Coturnix japonica: one gene and its partner. Each later gene encodes a partner of the first gene's protein in a complex. Links are inferred from orthologs where the notes say so. Each region holds a gene or a part of one and is shown in the gene's direction. Other genes may lie near its edges.

Region 1 (3,818 bases):
CAGACATTAGATATCTTAAAAATAGTTGTTTTTCCTTTTTCTCTTGATTTCAGAGAAAAAAGGAAAGATGACCCCTAAGGAGATTGTTCTCAAATGAAAATAATCTTAGTGTTGTTACCTCAAAAATCATAAGGAATGGAGTTACATTATAGTGTGTACTATAGTTCAGACTTGTTTCTGTTTTGTTTGAAAGAGCTTGAGGCATTCTGAGCTATGACTACTGACTTACTGTTAATTGATAATTAACAGGCACCGACAGTGATGACATTGTATAGTGGTAGTATTCTAAATGCTCACCACCTCTGCTTCCTAATTTATTACATTTCCTAAAATATACTGCTGAAAAAGATAATAAGGGAAATGTCTTCCATGACCAATATCAGAAGAAAATTAATAACATAATAAAACTTCTTTTTTTTAAAAAAATAAGCATGATGCAAATCTTTGGGGATGTAAAGAAAAGTGTGTGTACAGTGTTTAATTCAGTCTTTCAGAGAAAGAAATTTTAGCTTTTTGGCTTTTAAGAGGATATAGAAAACTTCTTACAGCTACAAAGTGATGAGTACCTTTTGGTACTGTTAGGAATGATGGGCAAATGCTTTGATGATATGAAGCATATTGTTTATCTGTTTTCTTTTCTCTGTTGTTTTCACTGTCTCTGCTGTGAAGATATTACAGACTGTGAGAACTCCAGGCCAGAGACAAGCGATTGGTATTGAGGTAAGGGTTTCTTTGTCCCTAGGCAGACTATCTCATCTTCTGCATATGAGTGCAGGGTAAATTTTGGGGATTGTTATGCTTTCTGAAAATGTTATAAATTTATGAATCTAGTGCAGCATTGTGCTAGTAACAGAACTGTGTCTGAACCTTCAAGTTCCTTATTGGCACTCATCTTACAATTTTCCTATTTTCCTACATTTGAGTCATTTTTGTTATATTGATACAATTCAGTACTGTTTTAATAAAATGGTAATTAAAAGCTAAGTGCAAAGTATTGTTGCTTCACTGCTTTTGCTTTGTTTGTGATGTTCTGTGGACAATAGTGCAGTGAAGTCAATTCACTGAAAATAGTTTTACAGATGTTGTCTTTATCTTATTTGTTCTCGAGTTTTTCTTTCTCACTCAAAACCTTTGGTTTTCTGTTTTTTGCTGTCCTCTTGGGTAGGTTGAACTGAATGAGATTGAATCCAGATGTGAGGAGTATCCTTTAACCCGTGCCTTCTGTCGACTCATCAGCACTCTCGTAGAGAGTTCATTCCCCTCAAACTTGGGGGCCGGTCTCCGCCCACCAGGCTTTGATCCCTATCTTCAGTTCCTGAGGGACTCCGTGTTTCTTCGGTTCCGGACCAGAGCTTACCGAAGAGCTGCTGAAAAAGTAATGTTTATTTTAAATTATTTTTTTAATTTAGTTTTTAGGATACAATGGTATATACCTAATTTTAGATGATTTGAGATTGCTTATGAAGCTTAAATCTGTTTGAAAAGCTGTCTTATGTGCAAGCTCAATCCAGCAGGGGTAACTTGGGGTGGCGAACCTGGCAATGTCAATAATCCATTGCTGAAAATGGACCTTCAGCTACTTAAAAGAGCAGGCTGCTCATAAAGGAATAATTTTTATTTCTAGACATAGTTAGGTTATGTGTTCTGTGATAAAAATTATTTGAACCAATTGGCTAATGACTTCTGAACATCACGTTCTGAAATCTGAAAGTCACTTTTGTCCTTTCCTCTTTTTTAATTCAGAGAATGTTTCTTTCTCCCTGAAGCAAGGAGTTGGAATTTCCTTTTGGATGAGCACACATGCTACACTGCATTCTCAAAGCTGTTAAGGAACTGTTACTAGCTGCTGTATACCTGTAGTCTGTTTATTACTTGTAGTTTTTAATGCATTAACATGTGTTATAAAGGAGAGAGGACAAAAGAGACAATATGTCTGTTTTAGTGTTCCATTTTACTTCAAAAAAGGAAGCTTGGCAGTTTAAATTATTTGTTGTGATGGATTCAAGTGTTATGGGATAGTACTTTAGAATGAGACAGTCATGCTGTGCATCTGATCAACTGTCTCACTGCATTTTGTTGTATTATTTGCATTCTGGTCTTGTTGCTGCAGCATTAGTCATATTCTGTGTATGAATTTTCTTTATTTTGTGACTATCTACAGTGGGAAGTGGCTGAAGTGGTACTAGAGGTATTTTACAAATTGCTACGGGACTATGAACCTCAGCTTGAAGACTTCGTGGACCAGTATGTGGAATTACAAGGTTAACTTGTTCATTCACTTATATTTGTTCGCTGACAAACTGAACAGTAACTTTGTTTGCTCTCTTGCCTCTATCTTGTGGTCTTGTTAGTACAGCAAATAAGCCGGCAAAAAGATAGGTCAGGGCAATAAGAAAAGAAGACATTAAAAAATGTCCACCTAATACAGGGAATTATACTCCTGATTCAGAAGACCTTAGTGTAAATTATTTCCAGTGCCTGTGGCTCTGCCAGGAGGGTGACTTATATTTCTCTTGGATTCCTCTGGATTTGTTTCTTTTGGTCTTTATTTAAATCACAACTACACATAGGATTAACTTAAAAGTTTACTTTTAACCTAAAGCTTAATTTAAATTTTGCTTTTATTTTATTGAGGAACTTGGTGTTTCAGGCCAGCAGTTTTCTTATTTTGTTGCAGCAGATAAGCAAGGATCTTAGACTGTAAGAATCAGTAGTTCAATGTACCCTTCTCAACACTGTTTTCTGGAAATGTTTTTTTCCTTATGTTGGATATTTTTGAAGGTTTTGGGAGATGTAAAGTTTTTTCTCAGTTACTTTTCAGTCTCACAGAACCATTTAACATAGCTCCAATCTAGTATAAAGTCCTGTTGTTTATCAGAATTCAAGGGAAATCAGCTCAGGGAGAGTCTAACCAGTTAAAGTTGAAAACCAGCCATTAGATACTGAAGAACAGTGGTAATTGGCATTACTGCTCTTTCCAAACTTTCTAAGCTACCTAAATGGCTTGTCTGTAAAGTAAAGCTCTGAAGACTTTGGATGCAGTAAGTTACTTACATCTGCTGCTTGCAACAAAACAGGGTCTGCTCTGTTTTCTAAGACTAGTTTGAGTAATAGAAGCTTTTTCTATTTTGTGGTGTTTTTTTTTTTTGTTTTTTTCTTCTGCCTTTAGGAGATGAAATAATAGCATACAAACCACCTGGGTTCAATTTGATGTATCATCTATTGAATGAGTCCCCAATGCTGGAACTCTCTCTGAGTTTGCTGGAGGAAGGGGTTAAGCAGCTGGATACTTATGCCCCATTTCCAGGTATGTGCCTAGAATTTATTTTCCATGTAAAGTCGAAGTGCATACTACCTAGGAACTAAAGCTGATGTTGTGTAACTTCAACTTGATTTTGCTTCTCTTCCATATAGAAATTGTGTTTTGTGGGGAATTTTCCTAGTAATAAATAACTGATGGAATTCTTTCTTTGTACAACACTTGGTGAATTATGTTTATGAATGTGGCCTATGTCAGGCCTATGTAACTGCTCCTTTCTTTCTCTTGTTGTTGTTTGTTTGTTTGTGCACTGCAGGGAAGAAGCATTTAGAGAAAGCAGTGGAGTATTGCCTTGCACTTCTAAACTTAACCCTACAGAAAGAAAATCTTTTTATGGATCTGTTACGGGAAAGCCATCTTTCCCTAATTGTCACACAACTGGAGCAGCTGCTTCAGGGAATCAATCCCCGCACCAAAAAGGCCGATCATGTAGTGAATATCGCTAGGTATGTTCAGAGTACTGAGAAGGGAGGAGTTTTGTAGGCATGGAAGTCACTGG
Region 2 (3,918 bases), on another chromosome or scaffold:
AAACTGCTTCCAGCAGGCTTTTGGCAATACCTGGTATAGTGTTCACAGATAGGCCCTACACATAGACAGACAGAAGAATGGTTAGTGCTGCTGTCTCACATCTGCTGTGTGATCTCACTCAAGACCAGTAACCTTTCCTAGCTCCAGGGTCTGTCTGATGGGTCTATAGTTCCCTGGATCCTCCTTACAACCCTTCTTGTAGATCAGAGTCATAGGTGTATTTTTCTTGTCCGTGGAACACATAAATACTTGACAGCTGGCTTTAGGCAACCAGTAAGCTTCCTGGCAGCCAGAAAAATGAGAGATGAGCTACACATCTTGCTCCAATTTATAGGAGGAAGGAGAGGTACTTTGACATATGTATACCTGGCGTGAGATTAAGAAACAATGGTTCAAATGTTGGTCCAACCAGTTTATTATAAGTCCTAGAAATGGGATGGGAGAAAGCCAGGAAGCTCCACAGCAAGCGGGGGGTGGTTCTTCCAAAGAGGTCTTCCCCTCAGGGAATTCTCCATCAAAGGTGTCTTTGGGGGTTTGTCTCCAAAGTCCCCAGTTTAGTGAGGGCCTTTTATCCACTATTTCTGTGGTGTTTTTTTTTTTTTTGTTTGTTTGTTTTTTCTTTTTTTTTTTTCTTTTTTTCTTTTCTCTCAGTCAGTGTGACATTCCTGACCCAACAGATAAGACAGCAGGGGGTGGTATGTTTGTTGTCATGCACAAGCATTATCGCCTTTTGCAGTGGTCAGCTCTTTCATGCTGCACCCCTGAAAGAGACTGCTTGTCCCACTTCTGCTTATCTTTACAATCATAAGCAGAGGTACAGTGGCATGGTGACACCCACCATTCATCCCCCTAGAGATAATTAGCAGTTGTCAGTTAAGAGTCTTATCACCAGAAAGGCCTCACAGAGCAAGCTTTGAAACAAAGAGAAACAGTTCTGTCTTTCACATATGACTATTAGGCACCTACAGGTACCTAATCACATTCCGTGCTGCTAGATCAGATCATTATCCAATTCTTACACTTGAAATAAGTATCAGAATACTTCATACGTAGTCTTTGATGTGTTTTTTAATAAGACTTGCGCTGACTGATAAGTGCTGACTTTCAGAAGCTGTTCCCATACACTGACTGTGCACAACCATGTCACTGCTGACGTTTCTCAAGGGTGACACAGGACACATCCTACCAGAGCCAACCCTCAGCCTGCAAAGGGCGGCAGCTTCAGCGCTGCCCTGCGTGTGGAGAAACACGCCATATCCACGCTCACTCCCAAGATGGCGCCGCCGTCACCGCACTGACGGCCTCCACAGTAAGCCCCGCCCCTCCCACAGCGACACAACTTAAGCTGACCCACACGGAACGCTCCCTTCTACTTGAGTGGCAGCGCGATAACCTATGAACGCGTCGAGAAGGCGGGAGCAGATCTGGCTGATAACCAATCAGACGGTGAAATGAGGCGGGGGGGGCGTGGCTTGTCGTTTCCACGGGGAAGTCGGCGCGTTGGGACGCGGCAGTGGCGGTAGTATGAGCTTGTCCTTGAGGTACGTGTGCGACCGGCCAGCAGGTCGGGCTGCGGGGCGGCACAGTGGTGGGGAGGAGGTGTTCCTACGGGGCGGCCGGGCCTCGTCACCGCCGTGTTTGTGTCGGCGTTAATCTGCATTCAGAGCTGTAAGTAGATTCCTCTCGGCTGTCCGCGTCCCAGCTGCTGGTCCGGCACAGTCGTGTGGGGCCTTCCCGAAGCGGCGGCCGGGGCACGGTGAGGTAACAGAGCCGGCATGTGCTTCTCGTGTCTATCTCTGGAGTCTGCCCGGTGCCGGTCATTGGTTGGTGACAGATAAATCTCAGCTGCGTGGTTAATCTCCGATGTCAATTAGAATTAGATAATCTTCAGTGAGGGGGAAGAAAAAAGAGCTGGTTACGGGGTGTGGGGAGTAAGCACCTTTGGAAAGCAGTTCTCCGTTCACACATAAGTGACTACCATGCACTGTGCAGTAAGTGGTACTACATGTGTTTTGTCAGTGCTGCAGGTAAGTGAATATAAAGGGTTTCCTGAGATCATTTTGAATTGCACAGCAGCCTAGGTTTGGAAGATATTGTGAAAGTTATCTTGTCCAGCTCTGCTCAGAGGTGGAGGTTGAGGGCCTTTCCCAACACTACTAACAGCTGAGATCCTGTGATCTCCCAGTGGAGCTATTCTGCTGCATAACCACTTGCACTGTGGCAGTGGTAGACCTTCTAGGTCTGCTACCACCTTCTGCTTTTACTGCTTGTAGCTGACTCTTGTTGCTATGCATCTCTGATGGGGACTTGCCTGTCTGCCTTGTCTAATCCTCTAGACAGTGCCTTAGCCTTCCCACACAGGGTCCTTTTGCCAACACACCTGGATTGAAACAAACGCATCTCCTTCAGCTCCTCCTTAACCAGATGCTGCAGCCACCTAGGTACTGATCACAGTCCCCTTTATTTTAGCCATCTTCTCTGCATCTGTTGTACTGGGGCACCCCAATTCAATGCAGTACTTTGGGTGCAGGTGCACAACTGCAGAATGGTAGGATTTAGCACCAAAGGAGCTGTGCTCATTGCTGCAGGTTTGTTGTGCTGTTGATTGCAGACCTTTATGTCTGCATATCCCAAGAGTGTGCTTTCAGCCTTTTTAGGGGACTTGACTGTTTTGTATGTATGAGCAACAGAGCAAAAACGTATCTGGTTTATTATGTATATGATAATATTTTTAAAAATCCATAAATATTTGGCATCAATGAAACTCTACTGGCAAAAAATCCAAAGATTTATGGCACTTAACACTCACTTCAGCAGCTGGACTAAATGCCTAACTAAAGCTCTAGCTGTCTCCTAAAACTTTCTAGTTTCACTACAGTTTAGAAATAAGGTGTCTTCTAGAGTTGTACCATGTCAGCTGCAGTCTATCTTGTAACTGCAACCTCAAGTATTCTTTTTAACTGGTAGATTTTTCTAATTTTGATTGATTGATTGTTTATTAACTAGATCACCTCTGCTGGGCAGAGGAGTAGAGAAGCCATTCAACCTGTGCAAAGGAATTGCCTGTTTCAGGTATTACTTCAAACTGGGAGATCAAGTTGGGAAGAAGCTGAATGGGGATGGCAATGAACTTGTGCTATTATTATTATTATTGGTGGGAAAATGGTGTCTTTCCAGTATTAATCAGTTGTATTGAATTTCCCTCTTGTCATGTAGGAGTGAGCTTTCAGCAGACAAAACTAAAAAGAAGAAGAGAAGAGAACTGACTGAGGAACAGAAACAAGAAATTAAAGATGCCTTCGAGTTGTTTGATACAGACAAAGATAGAGCAATAAATTACCATGAGTTGAAGGTATTTTTATTTATTCAGAATTTAAATATCTTTGGGGCAGGTATTATACATCTGAATGAATTTTTAAGTTATCAACTCTATCTTGAAAAATGCTAAATGGTCAAGATGTCCTGCAAGGCTGAAGTGGGGATATTTGAATAATTGCTGATGTGTATTGATGTAAGACTCATCTACGTCTTACACTTGCCACAGTAGTAGAGTTGCTATAGCATACTGTGTAGCAGATCTTACTGCTCCCTAGAGTTTAGCTTGGGCAGATGAGTAAGCTGGAGAAGCTCTGCTTGGTTTTTCTGAAGACACTGTATAATCTAAAACTTGATGCTGTTAAAATCCAAGTGTCTCAAATGCTTAGATAAAAGATATGTCAAGTTTATAAAACATGACTAGAAGCTGGAGTTTACCCACTTGCATTTTTTTCAGCAGGGAGCGTGTATACCAATGATGTTGTCTGCTATATTTATGTGTTGCTCTGTAGTTTCCTTTCCCAATGCTGGCCTCTCCTGTTAACATCTATCAGCAAATGGAGATTAGGATGGCAGCATTTTCTAGTGGGTGCTCCTGTTTGG

What was found.
Region 2: NUP205 (region 1) and CETN3 share a complex: the UniProt entries of both Homo sapiens proteins name them as parts of the nuclear pore complex. The link is inferred for Coturnix japonica from reciprocal best matches to the Homo sapiens genes NUP205 and CETN3.

The regions. Positions count from the first base shown.
Region 1 is NC_029516.1:43,453,841-43,457,658, reverse strand, and holds part of NUP205 (nuclear pore complex protein Nup205), read left to right. Parts: intron 1-669; coding exon 670-720; intron 721-1,165; coding exon 1,166-1,375; intron 1,376-2,161; coding exon 2,162-2,261; intron 2,262-3,169; coding exon 3,170-3,307; intron 3,308-3,575; coding exon 3,576-3,765; intron 3,766-3,818. UniProt on the Homo sapiens protein: Plays a role in the nuclear pore complex (NPC) assembly and/or maintenance. May anchor NUP62 and other nucleoporins, but not NUP153 and TPR, to the NPC.
Region 2 is NC_029547.1:53,318,006-53,321,923, forward strand, and holds the start of CETN3 (centrin-3), read left to right. Parts: upstream 1-1,413; 5' UTR 1,414-1,524; coding exon 1,525-1,541; intron 1,542-3,216; coding exon 3,217-3,352; intron 3,353-3,918. UniProt on the Homo sapiens protein: Plays a fundamental role in microtubule-organizing center structure and function. As a component of the TREX-2 complex, involved in the export of mRNAs to the cytoplasm through the nuclear pores.